4 linked regions of the Diceros bicornis minor genome follow. The protein of the gene in region 2 binds, or shares a complex with, the protein of the main gene of each other region. Links are inferred from orthologs where the notes say so. Each region holds a gene or a part of one and is shown on either strand. Other genes may lie near its edges.

The links.
Region 1: APBA1 (region 2) and LIN7C share a complex: the UniProt entries of both Homo sapiens proteins name them as parts of the brain-specific heterotrimeric complex. The link is inferred for Diceros bicornis minor from reciprocal best matches to the Homo sapiens genes APBA1 and LIN7C.
Region 3: APBA1 (region 2) and LIN7A share a complex: the UniProt entries of both Homo sapiens proteins name them as parts of the brain-specific heterotrimeric complex. The link is inferred for Diceros bicornis minor from reciprocal best matches to the Homo sapiens genes APBA1 and LIN7A.
Region 4: APBA1 (region 2) and LIN7B share a complex: the UniProt entries of both Homo sapiens proteins name them as parts of the brain-specific heterotrimeric complex. The link is inferred for Diceros bicornis minor from reciprocal best matches to the Homo sapiens genes APBA1 and LIN7B.

What each region holds. Positions count from the first base shown.
Region 1 is NC_080746.1:83,526,442-83,533,427, forward strand, and holds the start of LIN7C (protein lin-7 homolog C), read right to left. Parts: upstream 3,005-6,986; 5' UTR 2,929-3,004; coding exon 2,610-2,928; intron 330-2,609; exon of another isoform or gene 138-329; coding exon of another isoform or gene 131-137; intron 1-130. UniProt on the Homo sapiens protein: Plays a role in establishing and maintaining the asymmetric distribution of channels and receptors at the plasma membrane of polarized cells.
Region 2 is NC_080761.1:23,668,186-23,675,988, reverse strand, and holds the start of APBA1 (amyloid-beta A4 precursor protein-binding family A member 1), read right to left. Parts: upstream 3,007-7,803; 5' UTR 2,945-3,006; coding exon 1,757-2,944; intron 1-1,756. UniProt on the Homo sapiens protein: Putative function in synaptic vesicle exocytosis by binding to Munc18-1, an essential component of the synaptic vesicle exocytotic machinery. May modulate processing of the amyloid-beta precursor protein (APP) and hence formation of APP-beta.
Region 3 is NC_080764.1:39,186,631-39,193,782, forward strand, and holds the start of LIN7A (protein lin-7 homolog A), read left to right. Parts: upstream 1-4,152; coding exon 4,153-4,234; intron 4,235-7,152. UniProt on the Homo sapiens protein: Plays a role in establishing and maintaining the asymmetric distribution of channels and receptors at the plasma membrane of polarized cells.
Region 4 is NC_080773.1:24,606,826-24,613,955, forward strand, and holds the start of LIN7B (protein lin-7 homolog B), read left to right. Parts: upstream 1-4,124; 5' UTR 4,125-4,143; coding exon 4,144-4,180; intron 4,181-4,606; coding exon 4,607-4,725; intron 4,726-5,017; coding exon 5,018-5,089; intron 5,090-6,077; coding exon 6,078-6,287; intron 6,288-6,943; coding exon of another isoform or gene 6,944-7,009; exon of another isoform or gene 7,010-7,130. UniProt on the Homo sapiens protein: Plays a role in establishing and maintaining the asymmetric distribution of channels and receptors at the plasma membrane of polarized cells.

The sequences.
Region 1 (6,986 bases), on a different chromosome or scaffold from region 2:
AAAATTGAATATAAAATATGAAATGTCACAGGAAAGGACTGGGGCTCAAATGTGATAGACACATGAACATTGTATTGCTTCAGAAAAGCTGAAAGTATTATCTGGAACTATTTAGTCAATAAAAATTTACCTGTCATTATTAGTAATCAAAACACTGAACAGTACAAAACACTGTGTGCCAGTGAAGTCACTGTTCATGTCCCAAAGGAAAACACGATATTCATGCAGACCCGAACTGTTCAATAACAGGTGCAGTTAGTGGCAGGGACACATTTAAAACAATGGTACAGGGGCCAGCCCGGTGGCGCAAGCAGTTTAAGTGCATGTGCTCCGCTGCGGCAGCCTGGGGTTCGCCAGTTCGGATCCCGGGAGCGCACCGATGCACGGCTTGGTGGGCCATGCTGTGGTGGCGTCCCACATAAAGTGGAGGAAGATGGGCACAGATGTTAGCCCACGGTTGGTCTTCCTCAGCAAAAAAACAGGAGGATTGGCAGATGTTAGCACAGGGCTGATCGCCTCACAGAAATAAATAAATAAATAAAATAAAACAATCGTACAAATGAATAAAATCAACTGGTCTGTTTTCAACTTAGGATAATTAACACAATGTTTTAATTAAGCCAAGCTCAATCAAATACATACGTGTTTACAAAATAGAAAAATAAAAATAATTAGTTTTGTCATCTGATCTCAATACTAGCGGTGTGATCTTGGGCAAGTTACTGAACCTCCCTATGTCTCAGATTCTCCACTGTAAAATGGAAATAACAGTACCCTCCTTAGAAGAATTACCTGACAACTAAACCAAAAAATACACGGAAAAGGGTCTGGCATGTAGCAAGCAGAAATGTTATGTTACATTGGCACCAATTAATCATAAGAAATAGTAAGCGGTTGTACACATTTATACAGATATATTAAGCACGTTAGGCAATTCGCATTGGGAAGTGTGAGCATAAGTGTTTAACGAATTAAGACATTTTATAAGATTCAGGGTCATGCTACAACACTGTTAATGACTGTCTCTATTTTGATGTTTTTCTTACCTATTTTTGTACCCCAAGGGGCTAGAATATCTATTATTCTACCATTCCTTGCCTCCTTTTAAGTGGAAGAAGTTCTATTATACCAAAGGACTGGAACTTTTTCTTTATAGAATTAATATGGCCTTCTTTGTGTTTGCAGCTGAAAAACTAGGAATAAACGTAGTGAAGAAAGAAGTAGATTTTTCAATTTCAGGTAATAAAAGCTTAAACTGATGTGAATCAAATGCAATGCAAACACACTTTCCCCCATTCTGATACTCTACCACTAGAATGGCTGGTGGATGGGGACTGTTGGTTCATCAGCTATTTTGACTTACAAAGTTACAATATGTAAGCTACATGAAAATTTCCAATTACCAAAAAAATTGAAAAAAGTAAAATACTCTCTACTGAACCCAAGCTGTACCTAATTTGTGCTCAAATGTGTTCCACTGAATCATATGATAATTTAGAAGACATTCAGGATCTTAATCATATGCACTCATTTTATACTGTAGGATTATTGGCAGTGTTAATAAAGTTTAAACAGAATTCTAAATAAGAAACAGAGTTGATGTAATCTGACTTTCTTATCCTGCTAGATGGCAACCGCTAATAATTCATCCTACTAAGATGCTGAGCATTCTACTGTGGAACTGAAGAGAACTCTGAAACAGCAAAAACAAAGCCATGACTACCAAAACTAAATGCCAGAAGTTAAGTTTCACATTTTGTTCTGCACTTAAAAATACAAAAGACTGCCAACATGCTAAAATCCTAAAACTGGCTTTCAAAGAAAAACACCTACTCCTGTTAACACCAAACAGATTTGTTCCCATCGACAAAGCACAGTGCCATTGTGCTCAGGAGGAAGATGTCACCGTCTCAGGCCTAACTTAGTAAATCTTCCCAAAGTTGCTACTTCTCTGTCAAAAATGATGCTTTAATTAATGATCTGGCGGGCTGGGGGGTAACGATGTCGTTTATAAACGGTGAACACCATAAGGAATCAACAATGTTAACTGCACATTGGCTTGTGTGAAGGCATGAGGAAAGAGGTTTCTCTAAATACAACAATTCTAAAAATGCATTCCCTTCTCGGAGCAGAAGTTACTTAATATTCAGAGCATAACTGCAAATGTTAGTATTTCCAAGATATTTTCAATCTCCATCCTATACTTTGTTTACTACTGTACTCAAGATATTTAGTTTGTACTTCTTGACTCTTACCAACGACTTCTAATACTGGTATGCCAAAAGGATGCTTGAAATTGCATGAAATAAAGGATCTGCGGAGGAAAGAGTGGAATGTGGAAAATCTGTAAGAGAACCCTGGTAGGGGCATGGCCATGTATTCTCACTGGCTTTTGGGTCTCTAATTACTCAGCAAAACAAGTTTTATTTTCCTTGACAGTTTCCTCTAAAAAGCAAGCAACCAGCCACAGTGAGCAGTTGTAGGGTTTGTAGAGAAGAAATAAGACTGCACTTGCAAACATTTTACAATCTACCACTATTCCGGCTAGTTATGTAACCTTCTTCCCAAGAGCAAATCAGCAGGACTGTTTTAAAGCACCTTCTCCGTACCTGGGAGGGGCACCAAGGCCAGGAAATACCCCAAAACAAACAGGAGTGAGGTGTGGTCAAGGCAATGACGGGTTTGTGCGTGCACAGGAGCGGTGCTGTGGGGACGCGCTGTGCGTCCAGGACGCGTGGGTGCAGGCGCGGCCGCCGGGCGCGTGCATGAAGGTGGGCAGCCGTGCAGTCCGGCCGGCCGGGCGTGGGAGGGGTGCCTCCGGGCGACGCGGCTCTCAGCCCGGGGCCCATGTGCGGCGCTTGCGGAGGCGGACAGGTGATGACCCGCGCTGCGCCCCGGGACGGTCCGTGCCAACTGCGGTCTGGGCATCACTCGGGAGACCGCAAGCGCCCTCCCTGGGGCCGGGCGCCGCGACGTCGGCGGTCCCCGGGAACAGCGCGAGGGGCAGCCTGGCTCGGGCTCGGAGCCTTGGCCGCCCCTCTCCCCCCGGCGACACGGCCCGCCTCCACCCCCTCCGTCCGCCCCGGCCCCGGCCCCGGCCGCACTCACCCCGCTCCAGCCGCACTGGCTCCCCCAGCGCCGCCATCTTCTTGCTGTGCCCGCAGACCCACAGGAAATGACGACAGAGGGGCGCGGCGGAGGGGCGGGGCCTACGGGAGCCGGGGGGCGGGGCCGGGCGGTATCGCGAGAAAGGGAGCGGGGCCTGGGGGCTTGGGGGACCTCGCAAGGTGGAGGCGTGGCCGGCTCGCCAGGTGGGCTCCGTGCTGTCCCTCCCGGGGTTCCAAGGTTCTGAGTTCCTCGGCCTCCTGAGGTTGAACAGGGCCGCCTTCACGACCTTTGCTCCCTGCCTCGGGATTTAACGTCGTCCCACCCGCTTGGAGCCCTTGGCTCCACGGGGAAGAGTCTGGAGTCTTGTCCCAGCTTGACCTCTACCGGCTCTGTGAGCCCGGACTGCGCGCTTACGCTCTTTCGGCCTCAGTTTCCCCATCTGTGCCATGAAGGCCCCATCTCCGAGGTCTTTTCCATCCTTCAACTGTGGGATTCTGTGACAATCAGGCGTGTCATTGAGATATTGTAAATTCTCCTTTTGTGGCAGCGTTGCTTTAATTTTAAAAATCAGGACAGGAGCCTTCCCTCTAAATCTATTTGCGAGTGAGATTGGAAAGTACGGGAAGCGTGAAGCGCGCCTGGGTGAGTGAGCCAGAGAACAAGGCTCTTTGGTGCACCACGAAGTAACAGTTTAAAAAAGCTGATCCAAAATCTTATGTAAGTGAAATGTCATGAAGCCGTGATATTCTTAATGCGTTACAGAGTCTTAGGGCCACTTTTGAAAACTTCATGAACCAAGAAAAATTTTGTCCTCAGTTTAAATGGAATATTCATTTGCCCGGTGTTTAGATTCCACTAACATTTATTCAAGCCCTGGTCTGTGTTGATAATATCTTAGGTGTTTTCATATACAAGTGTTCAAGACTTCATGATAGGATTGTTTAAACAACCTCCAGGTTGCCCCTGGCCCACCCTTTCCACCCAACTATAATGCTTTCTTCTAATCCATCATGAATGTCACCACTATACCCGCTTTCCCCCTTGAGCCCTGATTTCATCATCAAAGGATTCTGTTCGCAAACTTTCAGTGGTTTCTCACCCTGTTTCCTCTTTCTGAAGCTTTGCGTACTTGACCCTAACATCTATCTAACCTCGTTTCTCGTTATCCCTCGAATGCAACCACCACTCAGGTTGAGGTGGCATATCCAAAACCATGTTTATTCTTGATTTTAAGTCTTCATTTATGTTGCTCTTATGTGGAATGCCCTTCATCTCCTCCACTTCTCCAAACTGTATACATCCTCAGACTGAACCCATCCTCCCGGTCCCTGCTGAAGACACTCCACTTCCACTAAGCTTCCCTTCTCCATCCTCCTCCCCTTCTTTGGTACATGATGGCCCTTATACCTGCAGTAGCACTCATGTGCTCATGTCTTATTCATTGTTGTCATTTGTTCCGCCACAAAGGTGTTCAAGAAGTGTTTGTTAAATGTCTCATGTCTGCCAGGTGCCTTCCTAGGCACTGAGGGTACCATGTGGAGAGAGACAAATGCAGACTTCGCCCTTATTTCTTCCAATATTTTTTCTCCCCCATCCTCGGGCTCCTCTCCTTTGATGACTCCACTTACAGGTGTATTCTGCTGCCTGGCATTATCTCACGGCTCACTGATGCTCAGTTCATTTTGTTTTTTCAAGCTTTTCTCTGCTTCCTTTCTTCAATATCTAATATTCCCTTAATCCCATTTGGTTCACTTTTCATTTTAGACATTGTAGTTTTTATCTCTAGCAGTTTGATTCAGGAGTGTGTGTGTTTTTCTGCATCTTTCATGTTCTTACTTAACATACTCAGTCTTTCCTCTAGCTTCTTGAACATATAGAATACAATTATAATGGCAATTTTAATGGTCTTATCTACTAATTCTAGCATCTGTGCTATTTCTGGTACTGTTTCTATTCATTGATTTTTCTCTTCATTATGGCTCATAATTTCCTGCTTCTTACTTGACTGGTAATTTATATGTATGGTTCTACTCTGCCTGGCAGGAACAGGAACTATTCTCATGAACGGAGATTGTTGATTGTTTACTTTGCTCCTTTTGAATGATCCTTTCCCTATCCTTGGTAATTTCTTTTTTTTTTTTTAATAATTTTATTTATTTATTTATTTTTTCCCCTAAAGCCCCAGTAGGTAGTTGTATGTCATAGTTGCACATCCTTCTAGTTGCTGTATGTGGGACGTGGCCTCAGCGTAGCCGGAGAAGCGGTACCTCTGTGCGCGCCCGGGATCCAGACCAGGCCGCCAGCAGCAGAGCATGCGCACTTAACCGCTAAGCCACAGGGCCGGCCCTATCCTTGGTAATTTCTTAACACATAGAATCATCATGAAATTTCAGAATTCCGTGAATAAGTAGAAGATCCTAAAATTTTCAGAGAAATTGAAAAGAATAAAAAGCTACATTCTAAGGACTGGGAATCAGAACAGTTATAGACCATTAATTATTTGAAGCATAGGTAAGGAAGAAAAAAGTTTTAGGAGCTACTTCTGAGTGAAGAAAATATGATTTAATTAACAACAACCCATTTGTACTCAACGTACAAAATAAAAGAATCAGCTACTGTATAAGGAGAGATTCCCTAAAATGTCCCTCCCTGATTCGTAAATCCTTGAGCGTTAGAATTGGGAGAGACCTAGAGAGTCCCACTCCTTCACTTCACAGAGTGATCGCTGTCCTGGGTCTCAGAGGAGGCCGCTGTGAGCACAACGTGACAGAGCTGCTTTAGCTTTTATGCCCCTGCCGGGTTGTTAAGCCACCAGGCTTCCCAATCAAGAACTACTCTTCCTCTGGAAGAGCTCCTCTTCACCTGTTGCTTCCTCATTTAACTTCCTGCCTCGGAGGGAAAGAGGAACACTCAAGTGAGAATAGGAAGTCTGAGTCTAGACAAATCCCAGTGAAAGCTAAATTAAGCAAATTTAGTCTTTATAGGAAAAATTAAAGTCCTAACTAGGCAGCCAGGGCATGAAAGCTTGCTTTCTTTCTTTCTTTCTTTTTTTTTTTTTGCTGAGGAAGACTGGCCCTGAGCTAACATCTGTTGCCAACCCTCCTCTTTTTTTGCCAAGGAAGATTAGCCCTGAGCTAACATCTGTGCCATTCTTCCTCTATTTTGTATGTGGGTTGCCACCACAGCATGGCTGACAAGTAGTGTAGGTCTGTGCCTGGGTTCTGAACCTGTGAACTGGGCCGTCAAAGGGGAGCTCATGGAACTTTAACCACTATGCCATGGGGCTGGCCCCTTTGTTCTTTTGTTTTTTGCTGAGGAAGATTAGCCCTGAGCTAAGATCTGTGGCAGTGTTCCTCTATTTTTTTTTTTAAAGATTTTGTTTATTTATTTATTTTCCCCCCAAAGCCCCAGTAGGTAGTTGTATGTCATAGCTGCACATCCTTCTAGTTGCTGTATGTGGGACGCAGCCTCAGCATGGCTGGAGAAGCAGTGTATCGGTGCGCGCCCAGGATCCGAACCCGAGCCACCAGCAGCGGGAGCGCACGCACTTAACCGCTAAGCCACGGGGCCAGCCCAGTGTTCCTCTATTTTGTATGTGGGTTGCTACCACAAGCATAGCCGATGAGTGGTGTAGGTCCACGCCTGGGATCTGAACCTGTGAACCCGGGCCACTGAAGGGGACCGTGCCTAAGTTAACCACTAGGCCTTGGGGCCGGCCCCGAAAGCTTTCTCAACTTGTTGCAAATACAATGTGTTAAGACAGTATCAATTAAGAGAAAAAGGGGGTGGGAAAGTTGGGGGTGGGAGGCTGTCTAGAGAGGCAAGGAAATGGAAAGAAATGTGAGGAAGCAAACCACTCCCTGTGGGGGGTTAGACTA
Region 2 (7,803 bases):
TCGCTGACCCAGTGCTGCCCCCTTGCTGGGGAGGATGCAGAGCCTTTCCCGACTGGTGTCCAACTTTTCCTTAAAGGTGCCAGTGACTTAATCAGCTAACAGCAAATGTTGACTGTTACTAAAGGAGGAGGTGAATGACACTTCTCTGACCTGCATAGCCCTTTACGTATAAGTAAAATGAACAAACAGCTTCCAATAATGGTTTCTCACTCCAAAAGACATACTGAGAAACAGCCTGGTGCAATCATAAAATACAGAATTAAATGAAATTGAATTTAACCTCTTGACCCTTCTTTTACTCCAAGCTCCCATTTTAAATGAAAGTGCTTAAAAATTATCCAAGAGAATGGAGAAGTGAGAGTCAGAGCAGAAAGAGAATCTTTAGAGCCAGGTAGTGGGGGCAAAGGTTAGTCTTCTTGATTTATTTTGAACAGATTGTGACACCCACGCTTGCCATGTTATCAAATTTCTTGGGTATTTCAAAAATGGAAAATAAAATTTCGACAGGGGCGGCAACAGCTTTCTGTAGCTCTTCATAAGGAAGCACAATTCAGTTTAAAACCCCAAACACGTCTTGTGAAGTGAGAAGGACGCCCTGGTACCACCAGAAGTGAAAATTAAGCACTTACTGAAACCGACAATGAAGCACAGGGTGGGTAAAAAAACTGGAACCCCTGGCAGGAACGGGCTCAGAAGGATTTCCTCCAAAAAGGCTACACTGCCAGCCGCAAACCTTTAAGGGACTGCTTTAAGGTTGGGGTTCTCAGATTGTGGTCCTGGACCAGGAGCAGCAGCATCACCAGGGAACTTGTTAGTGGCAATGCTGAACTTCACCTGAGCCCTGTGAGCCTGGAAAACAGTCAAGGTTAAGGAAACACCCCTACCTTTTGTGTTCAGGAAACAGTTTACTGCAAAGAAACCCCTTGCCCATATGATGCAGGTAAGACTCCCCCGGAGTCCCCTTGTTTACCTATGACAAGGCCAGACACAGACCCTCCAAATTCCCATTCTTTGCCTCACAAATGATTGGCTGAACTGCTGATTAATCAGAACAAAATGCTTGGTAACCAACCTTTGGTTAAGCTTGTCTCCTTCCTCCAGGTCCCTGAACTTTGGCCAGCCTACCACCTGTCCTCAACAGCCCCTCCTGAGAGTAGGCTGGTCTCGGCTTAAAACATTCTCTCCTGGGCAACACATTCAAGCCAATCTTTCATCCCACTGCCTCAGCTCTTGTTCGTTCTAGCCTTGTTTACTCCTCCCTAGAAAACAAACCCCCTTTTTGCCTAACCCTAGAGACCCTTGCAGATCTTACAGTCAGAGGTTGCCCTGTTGCAATATTCCTTTCCAATAAAGTCTCTCCTTACTTAATCCGGACTTGTTTTGTATTTGACAATAGAAATACAAATTGTCAGGCCCCAGACCTTCTAAATGAGAAACTAGGGGCGGGGGTTAGTGCGCCTAGAAATTAATTTCTGAACAGGCGCTCCAGGAACAGTTTGAGAACCACTGATTTACAGCAATCCCTCTAAGGGTCTGATAAGCGCATTCAACACTTCAACTCCCTCCCACCTGTGTTTCACTCACAGGCGCTTAAGTGCAAGCCGTTTGTGAGGCTTACGCTGGACACGTTTTTAGAGTTCCCACAGACCATTTATCTCATGAAGTCATTTCCCAGTGACAAACAAGGCCACACAGCACCCGTCTCCCCTCCTGGCCGCGCGTGGAGGCGAGCAAGCCTGAACCCGCGCATACTTACATCTCCATCCCCCGGCCTCTGGTCATCACAATCCCTGGTGGGGCTAATGTCCTGGCGCATGACCCAGATGGGCTCTTTGGGCTCGTCGGGGGTGTAAGGCGAACGGATGGTCTTGGTTTTCACCTCCTCGATGGCCTCCTTGATGTCCTTAATGGCCAGCGAGATGGCATCCCTCTTCTCCTTGCTGTACCGCTGCACCGCCTCGCCGCCCACGGTGCCCGCAGCCCGCTGCTGCCCTGCCAGCGCCTGCAGCCCGGGGCCGTCGGGGCGGCCCCCGCCGGGGGTAGGGGCGCGCTCCAGGTCCTGCTCGGCCTCGGGCATGTCCTCGGCCGCCTTATCGAGGCTCTGCGAGCTCATGCTCTGCCTGACCTCGGCCACGATCTGGTCGATGTCCTCCTCCTGCTCATAGCTGTCCATGCGCGGGTAGGGCGCGAACTCGGCTTCCTTCTCGGGGCTGTCGGACTCGCCGTCGGAGCGCTCGTCGTAGTGGTGCAGCCGCGCGCCCAGGGCCTCCTGGCGGTAAGCGGCAGCCTCGTCGCGCTCCTGCTCGTACAGCCGCAGCCCGTCGCGCGCGTCCAGCTCGGGCGCGTCCCCGATCTCCTCGTACACGTGCTCCTGGAGGCCCCCGTAGTCGGCGTAGGGCTCGGCGTAGGGCTCGTCCTCGCCGCGGTGGAAGAGCCGGTGCGTGTAGACGTACCCCGAGTAGGCGGCGTTCATGGCCTCCTCGTGCTCCAGCGAGTGGAAGTGCAGGTGGTTGGGCAGCGCGCGGCGGTGCGTGGCCTCGGCGTGCTCAGCCTCCGCCTGCTCGGTGTACTCCTCGGCCTCGGGCCGGTACTGCACGGCGTAGGCGCTCTCATCCTCCGGGTCCTGCGCGCGCTCCGCGTCGTAGCCGTCGCGGGCCGCGGCGATCACGTCGCCCTCGGCCGTGTCCGTGTGGTTGTGGAAGCCGCTCTCCGTGCTGGCCGAGCGCGCCAGGCACTCCCCGCGCTCCTCCTCCTCCGGCTGCCCGGGCTGGGCGCAGAGGTCCTCGACGGCGCGCCCACGCGGGGGGCGGCCCGCATAGTGCTGCTGCCGCTGCTCCTCCTCCACCTCGGGGTGCTCCAGGTCGGCCTCTACCGACTCGTTCACCTCCCCGCCTGCCGCCTCGTCGGTCACCTCCACCTCCGCGGCCCCCTCCAAGTGGTTCATGGTGGGCGTCGGGGACGGCTGGGAGAGAGGCTAGGCCGGCTCAGTGCGCTCTCATTTTGCTCCACCAGGCTGGAAAAGCAAGAAGGGGAGGAGCTGTTATGTGGTTCAGGCTGTAGTCATGAGCTGAGTACCAAGATAACCATAAAAACAGCTGCTATTGATCCCTTCTGAATCTGGGCCAATTAAAAAATGATTGCAAATTTAAGCTCAGTCTGACAGCACGTAGTTCATTTTCTTCGTAGCATGTACATATCTGCTTGTTCAATTGCTTACTGGCCTTCTCCCTTCCCCACCCCTCAGAATGGGGCCCTCAGGAGCGTTTTGTTCTCCCTATGCTTACTATTCAGGTCGTTTCTGATGCATATGAATAAAGAGTACTACTAAAGTGAATAGGCCAACTGACACATTATCCATCTGCTAAGGGATAAATCTCTCTAAATTAAACTAGGATCCTAGATACTTTAGAAACGAGTCTTTAAATAAATTTCAAGTAAAAAAATAATCTTCAAATGTTTTGAAGCCACTGCTGTCACTACAAATATGCAGCCAGTCTGAGGGAGGCTATCAACCATGAACGGGTTCACCTCCTGTCATTACTGGCTCTGTTACCTTAGACAAGTGGCTTAATTTTCTGGATCTCCACTATGAGACTGGAGTCATTTCCTACAGCAGGATGTTAACAGCTCTTACACAGGGAAAAAAGACTCCCTGGTCAAATAAGTCTGGGCAATGCTGACTTAGAGTTGACTTTTCATTGTGAGTATTCAAAGGGAGGGAGATACAGGATGCAGGGTTTCCCAAACTTGTTTCGAGGAAACACTTGTTTCCTAGAGGCCAGAGTTCTCTGACAAATACACTTCAAGAAACACTGACTAGCTCAATTTCTGCAGTACACCCAGGATCTAAAATTCTGTGATTCTATGAATTACCATTATAGCTGGAACTGGAATAATATGGCTAATTTCTTAAAAATATGAGTAGGTCTCTTTACCTATTTCCAGAGGAATTTGTAGCTAGAGAGACAGACTTGGTTTTAACCTCTCTCAAGTCTTCTGATCACAAAATAGCTTTATAGCATAATCTGTGTCTAGTGTATGGAATAGATACACAGGATGTAAAGAACAACAAAAACAGGTAGAATCCCTGTGATTTCAAGACACCTGTGGTAAATGGGGTCAACGATGTGTGTAAACTTTTCTCTGAGTGTTCTTTTGGGAGCCCATGTTACAGACGGACAAAATGGATGGGAAGTGAACTCTTTAATGTAATAGCAGAAAGCTCCAGGAGGACCAGGGACATCTGAATGACTCTCTAATATTGGGATGCATTATATTCTACTCAACTCCCTACCACAACCATAGCAATTCCCTTCAAGCTCTATGCCAATCCCAGTAGAAAAGGAGGCCATTTTGGAGCTAGCAAGGTCACCCTCAAGCAGAAGTATCATCTTTCCCCCATTCTTTGATGGATCCACCCCTGACTGACATACACTGGAAGAAAACAATTATGGCTTTCTAGAGATGATCCATCCTTATTGCTTCCCTACTTGACAAGAGTCCCACTTTATACAAATTAGACCTAGTCTCCTTTGAAAAACTGTGGCCTCTTATTAACCCCTGAGAAAAGTGGCTGTGGACGAGGTATAAGAAAGTTTTCCAAAAGCAAGTATGAGTCTCCATTCAGACTTTGATGGATGGTTAATGCTCTGAAGAGAAGAGGCAAGTATTGGTGCTGAGGGTCCCCTGGTTAAGTGGCCTCCAGTGGATGGTGGAAAATACAAAACAAATATTCAGTTCAATACAACACATGGACAAGAACTGTCTACCCACGTTTCCTTTATAAGGACTCTCTGGAAAAGACAACAGATTAAAAACCACATTAATGTACAAATCCAAGTCTGATGAACACAAAACAAGTGTTCAGAGAGAGGGATACTAAGCATACTAAACACTTTTCCAGGTACTGTTACCCTGCAGTGTGTCAGCTGTGTGTGAACAGTGTTAGAAATATAATTAACAACCATCTGAAGTACCAAATGGCCAACAATTCATGATAAACACCTGCAGAACTAACCAAAACACTGTCTTCAGTGAAAATAGATTTTATTGATGAAAAGCTATTGATACATATATTAAAAAGAAAGTTTATTCTTGGTTAAAATTGTATTTGACCCGCAAATGGCGCCCTCTCATACAGCACTGATTGATTCAAAGGAAATGTGATTTCCATGCTTGTACATACACTAAATCATGGCAAAGAAAGTTATAAGAAACCTGTTTTTTAGGGGGAAATACTGTTAAAATCATGTAGCTTGGTAGAGTGGAGTTTTCTCTTCACTAAGTCCTTTCTCTTTATACCCTGATTCCCAATCCTCAGGGGAGTGTTTAGGCATGGAGTGTTCATATTTTACTCACTGTCATGGTTTAAAGAATATAGGTGGGGTTGTGGTATTGGCAACATGCCAATTAATAACAGCCATTGATTTGAGCATTTCCCTAGGACAGAGGCAACTAGCAGCTTCTAAGGATGGAGCTGACGTCGGTGGTCAGCTCCACTGGTAGCACGAGAGGACTGTTCCCGTACCCTGGCAACTTTGGGGGTGGTATTTATAAAAAAATATGGAGGCTGTTTTTCAAGAATCCCAGGTTACTGTGGGAATATATATTGATACAACCTTTTTAAAAAGCAATTTGGCAAGATGAATTAAAATCTTCAAAAGATAACATACCTTTGTCCCTACCACTAATTACTAATAGAAATCTAGAAGGAAAAACTCAGATGTGGTCGAAGATGTTTCTCATGGTATTTGCTTAAAAAGCAAAGATTATGAACACTAAATGTTAAGTGCTAACATGTATTAAGTACCAATAAGTACAGTGCTAAGCATGTTAGCTCATATTGTGATCCAGGGAGATGTGGGGTTTTCTTGCTGGGTAGCTCCACCTGGGGTTCCCACAGCACCCAAACTCAACCTGCCACAGCTGAACAAATCATACCTCCTCCCCCTGCCTCCCCACCCAGGGTCCCAAACCTGGCCCCCCTCCTGTGTTTCCTGTATGGGTGAATGGCACCACCAGCCACCCAGTCGCCCAAGCCTCAAATCCAGGAATCATGACTGACTGGTCTCTTTCCCTCACCTCCTTCCCCAAACTGATGACCGAGTCCATTGTCTTAATAATTCTTGCATCATCCTCACTGCCTTATCGTGGTCCATCTCGCCTACACAATTGTTTCCTTAACTAATTTCTCAGCCTCCTCCAGTCCATCCTCCCCACTGCTAGCCTGATGATCTTTCTAAAATACAAATCTGAATCCCACTACCCTATTTCTCAAATTCTTCAGTGATTCCTCTCTAGTGCATAATATGAATACTTAGATAACTATATACCAGGCACAACTAGACATTTTCTACATAATGACTCATTTAATCCTCATATTAGCCTATGAAGAGGGTACTTTTCTTTCTTCATAGAGAGAATTATCAGCTCTTTTAAATATGAAGAAATAGAGGCATGGTGGGGTTAAGCAATCGCCCCAGGCCACACACCTGGGAAGGCTGGAACTGGCATCTGACCCCTGCTCTCTAGCTCTGGGCTCTGGGTTCTTGAGTCCTACTCCCTGCAAACAAAGACCATGGGCCACGTCACTCCTCCAGCCTCTTCTCCACACTTCACCTGCACCCTGTGTTCCAGCACCCCAACACTGCCCTAACTGCCTTCCCTGCCCTCAGCATAGTTATCACCGATAACTTTTCTCTGGCGAATCTTTCTTATCTTCACTGGAGCAAGTTCATACTTGATGACTGTCTATTATGTGCCAGCCTCCAGGCAATGCTCTAGGCATGGGGACAGAGCAGTGACCAAGCCAGACAAGCTTCTGCGTTCTCATGAAGCCCCCATTCTAGTGCATGGGGCGGTGGAGGGAAAGGAGAGGGGAACAGACAATAATTATGTAAATAAACAAACCAGATAAGTTCAGAGAGTGAAGTGTCTCATGAAGGAAAAAAAACAGGGTAATGGCAAAGAAAGTGACCGAGGAGAGGGGGTTAGGTAGATAATGGCCAGTGGAGGTGATATTTGAGCTGGGGTCTAAATGATAAAGAAAGAGGCAGTCAAGTAAAGATCAGAGGATAGGGCCTTGAGGTGAGAAGGAACTTGCTGTGTCTAAGGACGGAAATGATGTTTGTGAAGTGAATAAGGGATGGTGTGTGAGAGATGAGGATGTAGAGATGGGAATGGGCTGGGAGGGCCTGGTACATCATGGTAAAGAGTTTGGATTTTATTTCAAAAGTAAAATCCTACTGGCATCCTACTGGGGAGGTTTAAGCAGGGGAGTGTTAAGGCCTAATTAACTCCTCACTTTGTCCCCACTGTACTTCATTTATCATTATATATGTCATTATTATATTATAGCACCTGCCATTCTGAGTAACAATTCTTAATAAATATGAAGTCCTTAGGAAAAGAGGACTTGTCAGGTATCTTTGATTTCCCAGTGCCAAGCACAGTTGGTAGTTAATGAATTTTTAGTGATTAAAAAAAATTTATTTCCCTTCCAATATCTGGGGCCTTCTAAACATTGGCATGCTCAGCCTTTGGAGAATAACTCATTTCTTCTTTCCATCTTGAATCTTTGCTGCCCTCATCCACCCGTGCAACCTCCTCCACCTTGTGATGCTTTAAGTGCCCAAAGAACTCTAGTGATTCAACATTTCCCTACATCTGAGTGTGCTGATCCGATTGGCATTTATTGGATATGTACCAGGCACTGTGCAAGCAAAGAGGATGCAAAAGTCTCTAAACCATGGTCCCAGCCTTCAAGGGCAGACAGCCTCAATAATTACACCTAGTGATAAGTGC
Region 3 (7,152 bases), on a different chromosome or scaffold from region 2:
AGATTGTGTTTGTACATTTCATTGTATGATGGGCACAAGGTAATTCATGAAAAGGCTCATGACTTTTCTGTTAATTATATTATCTTTCACAACCTGACTCTCAATGGCCCTCTTTGGGCTTGTTTTTCTTATACTCCAAATTCAAATTGCCTGTTTGACCCAAACACACACCATATCCGCTCTCCCATCCCTGGCTTTGCTCTCCTGCTCCTCCGAATGCCGTCTCCCTATCTCTGTCTTTTGTAATCCTGACATTATTCTAGACCCAATTCAGTTGTTGTATTATTCATTGTTTGCACAGTACTTAGTCACTAACTGATCTCTTTCTTGTGTATTACTTTGTTTATTGTCTCTCTCCCCTGCAGAATATAAGCTAGGTGAGAATAGGGCTTTTTCTTGCTCCTTGCAACATCCCAATGCCTAGAACAGTGCCTGGCATATGTTAAGTACATTATTTGTTGAATGAACAGACAAATAAGTAGTTATTAAAACAAATCTAAGGATAAAATAAATTTAGTACCATTCTCTATTTATGATGATTTAAAAAAAAAACCCACAAACATTTATATTCTGAAGTATAGGTTGGCACTTCATCTTAATCCAGTGCTATTTTGACAAAGCTGTGAGAATTAAGGAAGATAATGTGATACCTTGAATCAGTCAAAAATAATTTCTAACACCCCAGGCTGAAAGAATTCCAGTTTGAAGGTGCTATTTTCCTCATATGAAACTGTGCTTATTATACTCCATTTATAATCTAACTAAACACATTTTCTCGGTATGCTAATGCTTTGTGCAAACCTTCTCTTAATTTTGTCATATAATTCAAAAAGATTCAATTAAGTGAAACAGACCTTAACGTAGCTTTGAATGAATTTTTTAACAAGAACATATTTTATATTTCAAGGTAGGTGTCATTTTAACGTTAACCTATATTTATGTAGAACAGAACCAGTATCATAGTTCTTTTCTCCTTCGACCTAAATTTCCTCCATACATTCCTCTCTTTGAGTATATATCTCAAGCCTAACAAAAAAAAAGAAAAAGGATCTATGTACATGGGTATATATATACACACATACCTAGAACTCTGAAATAAAAGGCTGAAATCACTAATCTTCAATAATACAAAATGAAGTGTGTTTCCTAATGAGAAGCAGAGGAGCTCTTGAACACAGGTGTGACTATTCTTAAGCAAGTCACTTAACCTCTCAGTTTCAGTTAACTTACCTATAAAATGGGATAGCAGTACCTACTTTTCTGGGCTGAAAAGAGGAGGAAAGAGAAACCAAGCTAGCACCAAGCACCACCTGGCATATACAAAGTGCTCAACAAGTATTTATTCAATTAATAAATTCCATTGAAAATGGAACTAAATTACTGAACTAAATTACTATATGACATTTAATAAAAAATTGTAGTGCTTGTGTAACCAAATAACCAAAAGTATAATCACAGGTGTTTTAACAATTCCCTGATTAATACACAACCAACAAAGCGACACACATATGAATAGATTGAGTATATGGACCTTGATGAAACACTGTGGTTGTCCAGGCAATTATTCAAGAGACCTAAGTATGGTCACATCTACCGATGCAAAAGAAGGGATTAAGGAAATGTTCTTATGTCTCTGCATGTCTCAAATAAGAATTCACAAATGTTATTGGACAGTAGTTAGCTGTTCATAAAAAACAAATTCTAACAGATAATGAATTATCTAGTATTCATTTTCTACACCTGTGTGGACATAAGCTAAAGGCATTGAACTTGCCCCTACTAGAAACAACAACTGATGAGTATATGGTGATTTGTGCTCCCTCTTACTTTCTCTTTCAGTCCTCACAAAAACTCTACAGAGTCAACACAGAGAGAGAATGATAGAGCAAATTTTCACTTAGGGAGCTCAAAGCATAAGCCCAGAAACATGCTGTTAAATGTCTGGTGCTGGGGATACATCAGAAAAGAAAAAGACAAAAAGCCTACCTCTGTGGACCTCACGATCTGGGATTTGTATTGAAATAGGTACAATTTTGGCTTTTAGACTTACGAATCAAGCCGCTCAAATGCATATTCATAAAAATGTGTGTTGTTAAAAGAACTCCATTAGTGGCCAGGGGATTTGTATGTTCTTTTCATCCTCAATTACTGAATGAGGTTTGATATTCTGTGCAAAACCTTGGAACATACTCTGCTGTTATTGTGCACATTCAACTTCTTTCTGTTGTTTGATTTAGGGGATGTGAATAATGCTAATCAACCAGAATTGTTGCTTCTTCCTCTTGCCCACAGCACTTCCTTTCTATGGCACTTAGAGCACTTATTGCATGGAATTCTCACAGCTTCTCATTTTTTATCTCCCAACCTCAACTGAGCACTGTCCAGGGAGAGGGCCACATCTCACTAATCTTTGCAGGGCCAGCTCCTAGCACAGTGCCCGCCCCACAGTTCAGGTGGGACGTATATTTGTTGTATGAAGAAATTTGTATAAACTTTACCATCTTCAAAGCACATTCATGTGCCTGACCTCATCAGATCCTCAGTGGCATTGCAGTGAGATTGAAGAATTAGTCCCCTTATTTTACAGAATCTCAGTGAGATTGAAGGTTATTAATCCCCTTATTTGACAGATGAGAGAACCAGGGATCAGTGAGAGATTACTCGATTACTGAAGAGCACATAAGTAAGACTTGCATTTCAAGATCAGGGTTTTTCTGAAACACTAAATGAAAACATAGGCATATTAAACTAGTATTTTAGGTATATCTTTCTGGTGTGTTAGGTGGATGGCCAAACATCTTTGACTTCCTCAACCATTGGTGAAACCTTGCTTTTTTTTTTCCAAATGTAGACCACAGGATGGAAAAGATCTTCAGAAACCGCCCATATTATAATCAGAAGAAAATGACATTTGAAGAGGGTCAAAAGGTACAAACTTGCCGAAACAAAAGATGACATAGATTACATGTAAATATTTTGCTGCAAAACGGTGTCTGCCTTTAAGAGTTTATTGCTAGCCCAAACAGCTCGTCTCTGTCACAGGGAAGGGGATGGAGGCAGGCAGCTTTGTCATTTCCGATCCTGAACCCACAGTCGTCACCATTCTACTTATACAAAATTTCTCTGTGCTTTTAAATTTATTAATCAGGAAATAAGAGTCCCTACACTGGCAAGATAGTGAAAGCAGTCTGTTGGGGTGAAGGGGTCACAGCCAGTATTTGAAGTTTCTAGTAACGGAATCCTTATCAACTGACTCTAAAGCTACCCTTTTAATAACATCATCTCCCCCTAGATTACAGGCTACAGGAAGGCAGGGACTGCACTGAATCCCCAAGTCAGGCCATGACACATGGCACGTAACACACGTGTTAATCAATCATTAAGTGGCAACTCTGAGTAACCACTGGTTATAGATCAACCTGAAAAACTGCTAGGTACATGTTTATCAAACTTCGTAGTAGAAACTTCTCTTCCTGTTTTTTTATTTAAAACCAGTTTTCAGAAGTTTGCTTTTAATGTTAATTATTTTCTAGGCAATATACTCAGCTCCTTAATGGACACCTAGTGATGGAACCCTGGCCTTGAGTCAGTTATCTTGTAAACTGTTATAAGTCAACATTCCAAAAACCTTTAACAGAAATTAACAGCAACTATACTTAAATCCCAACATTTCTGACCCTAGAAGCATTTTCTCTCTAAAAGGGATGGGATTACTGGGTTGACAATTTCTCTTAATCTGAAAAAATTTATCTCCATCTGCCTTCCCCATGTCCCCCTTTGGATCTTTTCCCTTCCCCCAGACACACGTATACTCTGACCATTTTATTTGAGTGGAAAGTTGAAAGAAAGCAACACGCCAGCTACACCCACCCAGCGCTCCTTGGGGTGGAATAGCCAAGTTCTGGGGCAGAGCCCTCGACCCCAGAGCTCGCGATGCAGTCGCTCTCCGATACCTGCTCAGCTTCACGCCGCATCTGAACGGCCGCCCGCCGCGGAACAGTTGCGTCTCCATCTGGCTGCCAACTCACCCAAGCTTTCTTCTCCTCCGCCACCACCACCTTCCCTCCTTCCCCCTCCTCCCCGTCCGTTCCATCTTCCCTCTCCACCCCGCCCCCAATCTCCTCCTCTTTTTCTCACTACAAGCGGTTGCTGATGCTGAAGCCGAGCGTCACTTCGGCTCCCACGGCAGACATGGCGACATTGACAGTGGTCCAGCCGCTCACTCTGGACAGAGGTAAGGGAACGGCTCGCCCGCCAGGCCACTGCGTCCCCCGTGCCTCTCCCTCTGCCCCTGCCAACTCCCACCGGGACAGCCGGACGCGCTCGGGCACGGGGAGCAGGGCAGCGGGGACGACCGAAGGAGGCTCTCGCGCCGACAGCAGGATACTTTCTTCCCCTTTCTCTGCCCGCCACGTCCCCGCTGCCCCTTCACGGTGCACTCGCCGGCCCAGGGGTGCCTTCGCCGGGCTCTGGCGCCCCCACCGCCACTCCCAGCCCCTCGCCGGGTCGCCTCGGGCCGCCGGCTTTGTTGGAGCGGATGCGCGGGCACCGCTAGGCGCCCGGGGCTCGGGGTTGGAGAGGGGCAGGGAGGAAGCTCGCCGTGCCGGGCGAGGGCGCCTGCAGCCGGAGACCGGGGAAGCCTGGCGAGGGAGCCGCCTGCCAGCCAGCGCGGCCGCGGGGCCCAGGAGGAAGGAAGTTTGTCCCGGCGCCGGGGGCGATGGTCGGTCCCGCAGCGGGTGCCCAGGCAGCCGCCCGGGGGCGGGCAAGGTGCACCCCAGGGTGGGCTGTGCCGGGACGCACGGCTGCTCGGCTGCCGCGGCGGGGAGCTGCCCTCGGCCGAAAGGGCAACGCGCAGCGCTGGCAGCCGTGCCCGGGCCCGGGGCGCGCGTCGCGGCAGCCGAGCCCGGCTCTCTCCGGCTGCGCGCCCCGAAGGCTGCGGGGGTCGCGCCTGCCCCCGCCGCCGGCAGCTCTCTGGCAAAGGCAACTCAGTTTCTCCTGCCCCTGCCCGCCTCGTTCTCTCCCAGCCCGGTGCCACCGCGGTGCCCGGGCTGCGGAAGGCGCTGGGACGCAGCGCAGCCTGGGTGGAAATGCAACTTCTGACCCGCGACCCTGTGCGTCCTGCTCTCCTGCTTGAACGCGGAAGCAGCGTTTGCTTCCTCCCCAGGACCTCCGCAAGCCTAAGGGGGGAATCCTCCAGTGTGATCCGGCCCTCTCTGGTGCAGCCGTGCGGGGTTATACCTGTCCCTGTGTGTCCGGGTTTCCCTTCTGGCTGGCGACGTCCAGTTCTGAAGGCGCTGGAGTCCCACGACTCTGCCGCGGAGGACACCTGCTCCTCCCGGTCCGCAGGGGCCGGATTTAGGACCCTGAGTGGCCGTTTGGAAATGGTGTGCTCAGACGAAAATGATTTAGTCCGATGTGTCTCTAAAAATATTCTTTCTAGCAGATCAAACTGGCCTGTGGGGCAAGGCAAAAAAGCATCCTGCTGCGAGAACAGTGGAAAAGCCAGTGAACTCTGTGAGGTTTTTAATTTGGAGAGGTTGTGGGTGACTTGAATGCAATCTGTTGGCTCCAGAACACATGTTATGTGGTACCCGTACAACCTTACTTGGCGTAAGAGTTGAAAAATAAAAAATAATTGATTTTATGTTGGGAAATGTTGATTTGCAAGCTAGTAAATTAATAACAGTAGTTAAAGAGCTCGGAAATGCATTGTATAATCCATGATTTCACCCCAATATCATCATCTGCACTAAAGCAGGATAAATCCATTGCCACTAAGAGCCAAACAGATGGCAAGCTATTAGAAATTATGGATTTCCCACGTATTTCTGTTTTAGTGTAATGAGCTCTTATATTGTCCCATTACTAAATCAGTCTTTAAACCTCTCAAGTAAAACGACTACATTAGGAGGGGAAAAAACAAACTCAAAGAAAATTGCATACTACTACTACTAAAAATATTTCACTTTTGGGGTTTTACCTCAGCGCTTAGATGCCTGGCTCAGTTGTGGGTAGGAAGTGCAATCAGACCAAAATCTATTCTTAAAGTTTGTTCCTGTTCACAACCAGTCTGCACCTGTCCTTCCCAGTGTGATTAGGTCCATGCAGAAAGTAGCTCAGGAGGCAATCTGAGTGAGACTATGGATGGATTTGAATCAATCCACCAGCAGCTCACTGCCAAGTCCATAATTTACAGATGATGGATTATTGGCATCATTGCTGTGCATGAAGTCAATATATATAAATATTTTTTTCTCTACCTTATAAAAATGATTAATTAATTGATTAATTGCATCATTAAACCAATGAAAGAAGGGGTTCTGGAAAATTTCCTACAGAGAAAGAAAGCCTTTCAAAAGAGGCAGCCTAATGATACTTACCTGGGTCCTAGTGGTAACTCAGATACTCACTTCGGATGGGTTGGTTAGCCTCTTTGGGCATCGGTTTTCCTCTGTGCCACATAAGGAATTTAGATTAGACGATTCTGACACTGTGCAGCTTTACCAGTCTATAATTAAATTAATTAAAATTAGGACTCAGTTTCTGGCTACCTACTGGAAGATTTTCCAGCTCACCCCCTCTCCCAGACTGTTTTGGTGCCCTTTGATATGTTCTGAGGCTACCCGCTGCTTTGGCTCCATCAAAGCATTTCTCACACTCTGTTGCATCTGTCTCCTCATTGAATGGAGCTCAAGAGACCATTTCTAAATTCATCTTTGTATTCTCAGTGGCTGCCATAGTCCCTGACTCACAGTAGAAGATCAAAAATTAATGTAAGTCAGTATAAGTGAACCAAGGACTGCAGTCACTTAAGCACTGTTAAAATATAGGATGTAGCGAACTGAGGTATGGCTCATAGATGCACATTTTGGCCCTGGGAAGGACGGCAGGGAGAACATAGGCCAGTGGTTCTTCAGCTTTCTTTTCCCCTCTACACTTGATGGATTCCCATCAGTAACCATAGCTCACCAAGGCTGTGATTATTAACCAAGGGGGATTGTGGCAGGTGGGCAAAGGAAAGGAGAGAAAGGAAAGAAAATGCCTGACAAAGTCTCCCCAGGGCATCTCAGCGAACCTGGATACATAATCCACAATTTGAGAGCTGCTGGTTCTTTTCTCACATCTTCATTTTTCAAATGAGAAACATGAAAG
Region 4 (7,130 bases), on a different chromosome or scaffold from region 2:
TTTAGCTGCCTGAGTCCTTATAAGCATACCAAACCAAAGACCACAGGCATTTGAGAAAATCCAGCAACAAGAGACCACAAGATAAATAGAAAAACTGGTCCTGGAAGAAACAATTGAGGGAATAAAAGAGAACTTAATACCCCTAATTAGTATGCTCATAGATACCCCAGATACTGCAATTAGACTTGTGGAACTGGCTACAAAGAACAGCCCATTTTGAACTAACCTAGCACAGACCAGTTACATAAAGATTGGACACAATATATATGAACAACTTGTGAAAGGCATTGGGGAGCAACTGTTGTAGGCCAGACTTGAGGGGGAGAGCACACAGAGGTGAACTTCATATTGACCCTCGCTGTTTCCTTGAGGACAGCTGCCAATTTAGCCTGGGGGAATACACGCAAAGGGGCAGTCCTCCACTGGGCTAGCTTCACAGAGCTTGCACCAGAAAGCTGGCTAAAGTTCCCAGATGGGGCATTGAGCCCCCAAATCTACATGCAATCTCCTGTCAAGGCATTTGCCAACTCCTAAGCTGCTGGTTGTCCTTGCACGACCCCCAAGGGACTCAGAAAGCAGTAACGAGGCTAAGGAGCTGAGCAGAGATATCGGCAGCCATGCGCTTCTGGAGGCGACAGGTTTGGGTCCAAGGCCTGCCAAGGTGGAGTGGCCATGCTTGAGGTCTCCAGAGAGACACATCATTTGAAGTAAGGCCACAAGTGAAATAGACCAGGCCTAAGAAAACCTGAAATCAGACCTCATGATTTAGGTGATCTGCCTGCCAGAAGAAAACTTAACCTAACTCTTTGGAGGAAGATACCATTCAGATCCGCTATGATTTTTAGCACACAACGCTCACTGACTACTCAGAAATTATCAGGTATTATCAGGTATGCTAGAAAGAGGACTTGAATTACAAAAAATAGACAATACAAACAGACCCAGACATGATTCCGATGTTGGAGTTATCAAGACTGAAATAACTACGTGTTCACAAAATAAGGAAAAGATGGAGAATTGTAACAGAGATCTGGAATCTTTTTTTAAAAAAAGCCAAATGGGGGTCCTGCCTGGTGGCATAGTGGTTAAGTTCACACGCACCACTTTGGCATCCCTGGGGTTTGCAGGTGCAGATCCTGGGGCGTGGACCTACACACCACTCATCAAGCCATGCTGTGTTGGCGTCCCACATGCAAAATAGAGGAAGATGGGCACAGACGTTAGCTCAGGGCCAACCTTCCTTGGCAAAAAAAGAGGAAGACTGGCAACAAATGTTAGCTCAGGGCCAATCTTCCTCACCACAAAAAAGCCAAATGGAAATTTTAGAACTGGGATACAATAACTCAAATTAAGAATTTAGTGCATTTGGTGGTTGACTAGATACTACATAACCTGAAACATTCCTGTTATAAACACTAGAAGTGCTAGGGAAAATAATTAGACAAACTTTCTTGAAAGTAAGAGAAATCTTACAATCTTTTTAGGAGGTTAACTGAGGATATACTTCACCAAAATGAGGGATTTTTTTTTTTTTTTGAGGAAGATCAGCCCTGAGCTAACATCCATGCTAATCCTCCTGTTTTTGCTGAGGAAGACTGGCTCTGAGCTAACATCTATTGCCAATCCTCCTTTTTTTCCCCAAACCCCCAGTAGATAGTTGTGTGTCATAGTTGCCCATCCTTCTAGTTGCTGTATGTGGGATGCCGCCTCAGCATGGCCGGAGAAGCGGTGTGTCGGTGGGCACCCGGGATCTGAACCCAGGCGGCCAGCAGCAGAGCGTGCACACTTAACCGCTAAGCCACGGGGCCGGCCCCAAAATGAGGGATTTAAAAGAGGAAACCACAAAGTCTGGCCTGGTGTCATAGTGGTTAAGTTCGTGCACTCCACTTTGGTGGCCCCAGAGTTAGCCAGTTCGAATCCTGGGTGTGGACCTACACACTGCTCATCGAGTCATGCTGTGGCAGTGTCCCACATACAAAATAGAGCAAGAAGGGCACAGATGTTAGCTCAGGGCGAATCTTCCTCACCAAAAAAGAAAAAAAAAAAAAAACAAGATCCAGTTTAGCAGAGCAGTGGAGGGTAGTCCTAAAATGGCAGGTTCTAGAGAGTCCAGATTGGGGTCAGAGGACTGAAGTTTCCAAAGAGTTTCAGGATAAAAAATTCAGTAAATTATCTGTTGTGATGGAGAGTTTGAAAGAAATTGAGAATGTAATGAAGCAAAAATAGAACTCACAGAAAAAACCAGAAGCTGTTCAAGAAAGGAAATGTCATCACAGAACACTCCCTGGGCTCTGCAGTAAACAGTGAGTACTTAGACATAACGTGAGCACTTTATAGACTGACCTAAAAGCTAGTACCATAAAACTACCACGGGGGAGAGGGAAAAGGTGGTAAGAGCAGAAAATCAATATGTAATATATTACTAACGTTGAAAATTGAGAAATAGCATGTTCCTTAAAGAAGCAACTAGCAGATTAAACATCTCTAAGTCATTGCCTCTTGCAGTGGGCAGAGTTAGGACAGGGACAGGGGCTGGTGCTTTTCAATATTAGCCCTTCTGTATCATTTGATTTTGTTCTTAACTCTGTAAATACGTTATTTTTTGTTAAAATTAGAAGAGAAAAGTACTATGAAGGAGAGGGATAGACAGACCTGCTTTCAGTCCTCGCACTTTCCTGGGCTCCATATCCCCATCCGGCTAATGGGGCAGCAGCCAGACTTCTCCACGCTCCTGTCTACATTTCTTACATTTCTTTAGAGGCCTCTCTTGAGAATCTGATACCACTGCCCACTTCCTTTTTCAAAACACTCCCTTCTCATGGTTTCTCCTACCTGCTTATCTTTCTACCTTTCTGGCCATGCTTTCGCTTCCTCCTGACTTTTAGATTTTATTTATTTTATTTCCCCCCAAAGCCCCAGTACGTAGTTGTATGTCATAGTTGCACATCCTTCTAGTTGCTGTATGTGGGACGCGGCCTCAGCATGGCCAGAGAAGTGGTGCCTCAGTGCACGCCCAGGATCCGAACCCGGGCTGCCACCAGCGAAGTGCATGCACTTAACCGCTAAGCCGTGGGGCCGGCCCCCTCCTGACTTTTAAAGGTTAGGAGTGTGGAGGACTCAGTCCTAGATCCTCTTCATTCTATATTCTGCCCCCAGCATTCTTGTCCACTCTTATGGTTTTATTTACCACCTTTGCCCAGATTCCCCAAACTGCTTGGACACTGCACAGGCTCCTCAAATTCAAAACAGCCAATATCCCTCCTCCAGCATAGACCATCTTAGCAAAAGGCCCCGCAAGCAACTTAATACCCACTTCTCCACTTCCCAGTCCTCATAACCAAGACATGTCCAGACACCCCCAAATCTGTCCACTTCTCCTCCATGCCTCTGCCCTGGTCCAAGCCTTCACCGGGTTGCTGGATAGCCTCCTCACTGGTCCCCGCTTCCACTCTTGCTCCCAATCCCCCGTGGCCACAGTGATTTTAAGCACACATTTGAATAGGACATTTTACTCTTAGGAGTTACCATGAAGTCCAAAATCCTCAACACGCGCATGCCAACACACAAGGCCATGCATAAACTGTATCCTGCCAACCGTTTAATCATAAACCACCCCAATCGTCACTCTGCTGACCAGCCATGTGGGCTCTTTCTGCCTGGAAAGTGACTCACGCCCCACCTCAAGGACTCTGTCAGTGTCCCTCCTAGATCGTCACCTCCCCTCTCCCAATTCTGATCACAGTCGTAGTTGGTTGTCCACCTCCCTCCTCCCATAGACTAGGTTCCAGGAGGGCAGTGGGCTTATCTGCTCTGCTCACCATCGCGTCCATCACCTTGGGCCCAGATGTTTAACATACGTTTGTCCAATGAATGTGGAAAAAAGGATAGAAAGGGGATAGACAGGTGAGGCGTGCAGGGCAGACAGACAGAGGCTGCAACAGGAGGGGTGGCAAACCGGGCCGACTGACGCGGGCTGAGGCAGGGCGGCTAGACCGGCCGCAGCAGGTGGAGCGGCGCGCACGCCGGGCCGCGCCTCCGCAGCGGGCGCCCGTCGCCCGGGGCGTGGCCTCGCGCGGGCCCGCCCTCCTCGCCGGCGACCCGGCGGGCGCCGGGCGGGCGGCTGGCGGCAGCGGCGGCGGCGACATGGCTGCGCTGGTGGAGCCGCTGGGGCTGGAGCGGGGTAAGCTCGCCAGGGGGCCCTGCCCACTCGCCCGCAGCCTTCGTCCCGGACCCCGCTCCCCTCCCCTCCCCCGGCAAGGCCCGGGCAGGTGGGCGGGCGGACCAGGCGGGGGTGGGCGGGGCGGGCGCCGGGAGTCGGGAGATCTAGGGTTGTGGGAGGGTCCGTGGGCGAGCGGGCCAGGGAGGGGGCGTCCGCTGCACACCCCTGCCTGTGTGTGTATGGGGATCCTGGGGACGCAGGGCGCCCAGCTGGTCGTAGTCTTTCCCTTGCCACCGGCGACCCTGCGGGTGTCCGACTGGGACTCGGCTGTCCTTCCCGGGGTCTGTCTGCGCTCGCCCCTACTTGGTCTCCGACCGCATCTCTCCGTGCCTCTGCGTCTTCGCGTCTCTGACTCTGTCGCGCCCCGCCCCCGCCCCCGCCCCGCAGACGTGTCCCGGGCGGTGGAGCTGCTTGAGCGGCTCCAGCGCAGCGGGGAGCTGCCTCCGCAGAAGCTGCAGGCCCTCCAGCGCGTCCTGCAGAGCCGCTTCTGCTCTGCCATCCGGGAGGTGAGAGCTGCGCGGCACCGGGGCACGAGCGGGCGGCCGCCGTCCTCCTCCTGGTCGCCCCAAGCTCGGGGACTACGCCTCCCAGCAGCGCCTGGGGCGGTCCGCCCTGGGGTGCCCGCGCTTCGGCACCGGGGCTCTCTGGGAGTTGTAGTTTCCTCGGGCTCCGTGCTGCGGGGGCGTGGTGGATCCTTGGGTGGGAGGGTCTGGGGGCCTGGACTCCTCTCTCTAAGGGGGCGGGGGGGCGGGGGGCTGTGTGGCTGGCGGCTCCCTGATGCTGCTGCGCCCTCACCAGGTATATGAGCAGCTCTATGACACGCTGGACATTACCGGCAGCGCTGAGATCCGGGCCCACGCCACAGCAAAGGTAGACGCCTCCCACTTTCCATCGCTCATGGTATCCACTGGACTGCATGGTCTATCTAGCTCAGGATCTTCTTAATGTCAGTTATTCCTGTTTCCTTCCTCTTTCACGATTTTTGCCAAATCTGTGTACCACCCTTACTATTACTTATTTATAATTTATTTTAAATAATCTCATATTTTTAACTTAAACAAATGTTATGTAAAGGCATCTTTAGCAACTACAAACAGAAATTAGTACTGCATGCCTGATTAGAAGATAACCTTAAACATCTATACAATGAAATAGCGTTAAACACTGAAATCTTTTTATTTCATTTTATTTATTTATTTATTTATTTATTTATTTATTTATTTATTGTGAGGAAGATCAGCCCTGATCTAATAACATCCATGTCAATCCTTCTCTTTTGCTGAGGAAGACCGGCCCTGAGCTCACATCTATTGCCAATCCTCCTCCTTTTTTGTTTTTCCTCTTTTTCTCCCCAAAGCCCCAGTAGGTAGTTGTATGTCGTAGTTGCACATCCTGCTAGTTGCTGTATGTGGGATGCGGCCTCAGCGTGTCCAGACAAGTGGTGCGTCGGTGGGCGCCTGGGATCTGAACCCTGGGCCGCCAGTAGTGGAGCACGCACACCCAACAAACAATGAAATCTTATTGAACTAAAGTTAGATGCTATTTCTTGCTGCTTCCTGGAGGCTCTTAGCTCCTTCCAGGCCTTGTTTTTCTGTGTTAAAAAGCGAGACTGGCAAGTGTCGAGTATTCAAGACTCCCAACAAATGGCGACTTTCTCTTTGACACGTCTGAAGCATGCACAGTGAACTAAAAGGGGCAGACGGTCATTACAGAGTGAGCATGTGGGGAGCTGGGGCAGGGGCCCCGTGCTTGGGGAAAGTGATCTGGCCTCAGTTGTTCTCTCTGGCCCAGATCCTCCACCCCAGTCTGCTCGCCTGCCATGGAGGGGCCCTCACCTCCGATGCTTTCTCTCTCCCAGGCCACGGTGGCCGCCTTCACAGCCAGTGAGGGCCATGCACATCCCAGGGTGGTGGAGCTGCCCAAGACAGATGAGGGCCTGGGCTTCAACATTATGGGGGGCAAGGAGCAGAACTCGCCCATCTACATCTCCCGTGTCATCCCTGGAGGCGTGGCTGACCGCCACGGAGGCCTCAAGCGTGGGGACCAGCTGCTGTCGGTGAATGGTGTGGTGAGTCGGGGGGCTGAGGTCCAGCTGGGGTCACAGTCTGTCCAAGGTCGCATAGTCCCTGTTTTTGACATTCCTTCAGCACACACTGAACACTGCCTCTATGTCCAGCCTTGTGCTGGACACTGCTGCAGACCCTGAGAGAAGTTGGCCTCAGCTCCTACATTTCAAGGACTCCCTCTCTGATGAGAGAGACAAACTTTGACTGAAATAGTCCTAATCCAGGGAGATAATAATGAGGAAGCAGAAAGCATTGTGAGAGCCCAGATGTGGCACCAGACCAGTGTAGATAAGGGAAGTTTTTGTAGAGGAAGGAACATTTTTTGTGTGTGTGTGTGAGGAAGATCAGCCCTGAGCTAACATCCATGCCAATCCTCCTCTTTTTTTTTTTTTGCTGAAGAAGACTGGTCCTGGGCTAACATCGTGCCCATCTTCCTCCACTTTATATGGGACGCCACCACGGCATGGCCTGACAAGCAGTGCATTGGTGCGTGCCCGGGATCCAAACCGAGCCTCCAGCAGCAGAGCACGTGCACTTAACCGCTATGCCACGGGGCCGGCCCCAAGGAAGGAACATTTGAGTTGGGTTTTGAAGAATGAGTAGGAGTTCTCCAAGAAAATAAAGTGGAGAAGGGTTTTTCTAGCTGAGGGTTTTGTAGGTAGAGGCTGTGACTCTGCATTCCTCTGAGCTGAAGAGAAAGGGCTTGATTCTGATGGAGGTCTGAGGCATGCAGGTAATTAAAATCACTGTGGTTAGAGTAGATGGAGGCATAACTGGGTGGGTGGTTGGGGCCAGCCATGCAGGGCCTAAGTGCCAGCCTGAGAAGCTGGGACTTTGTCTCAAGC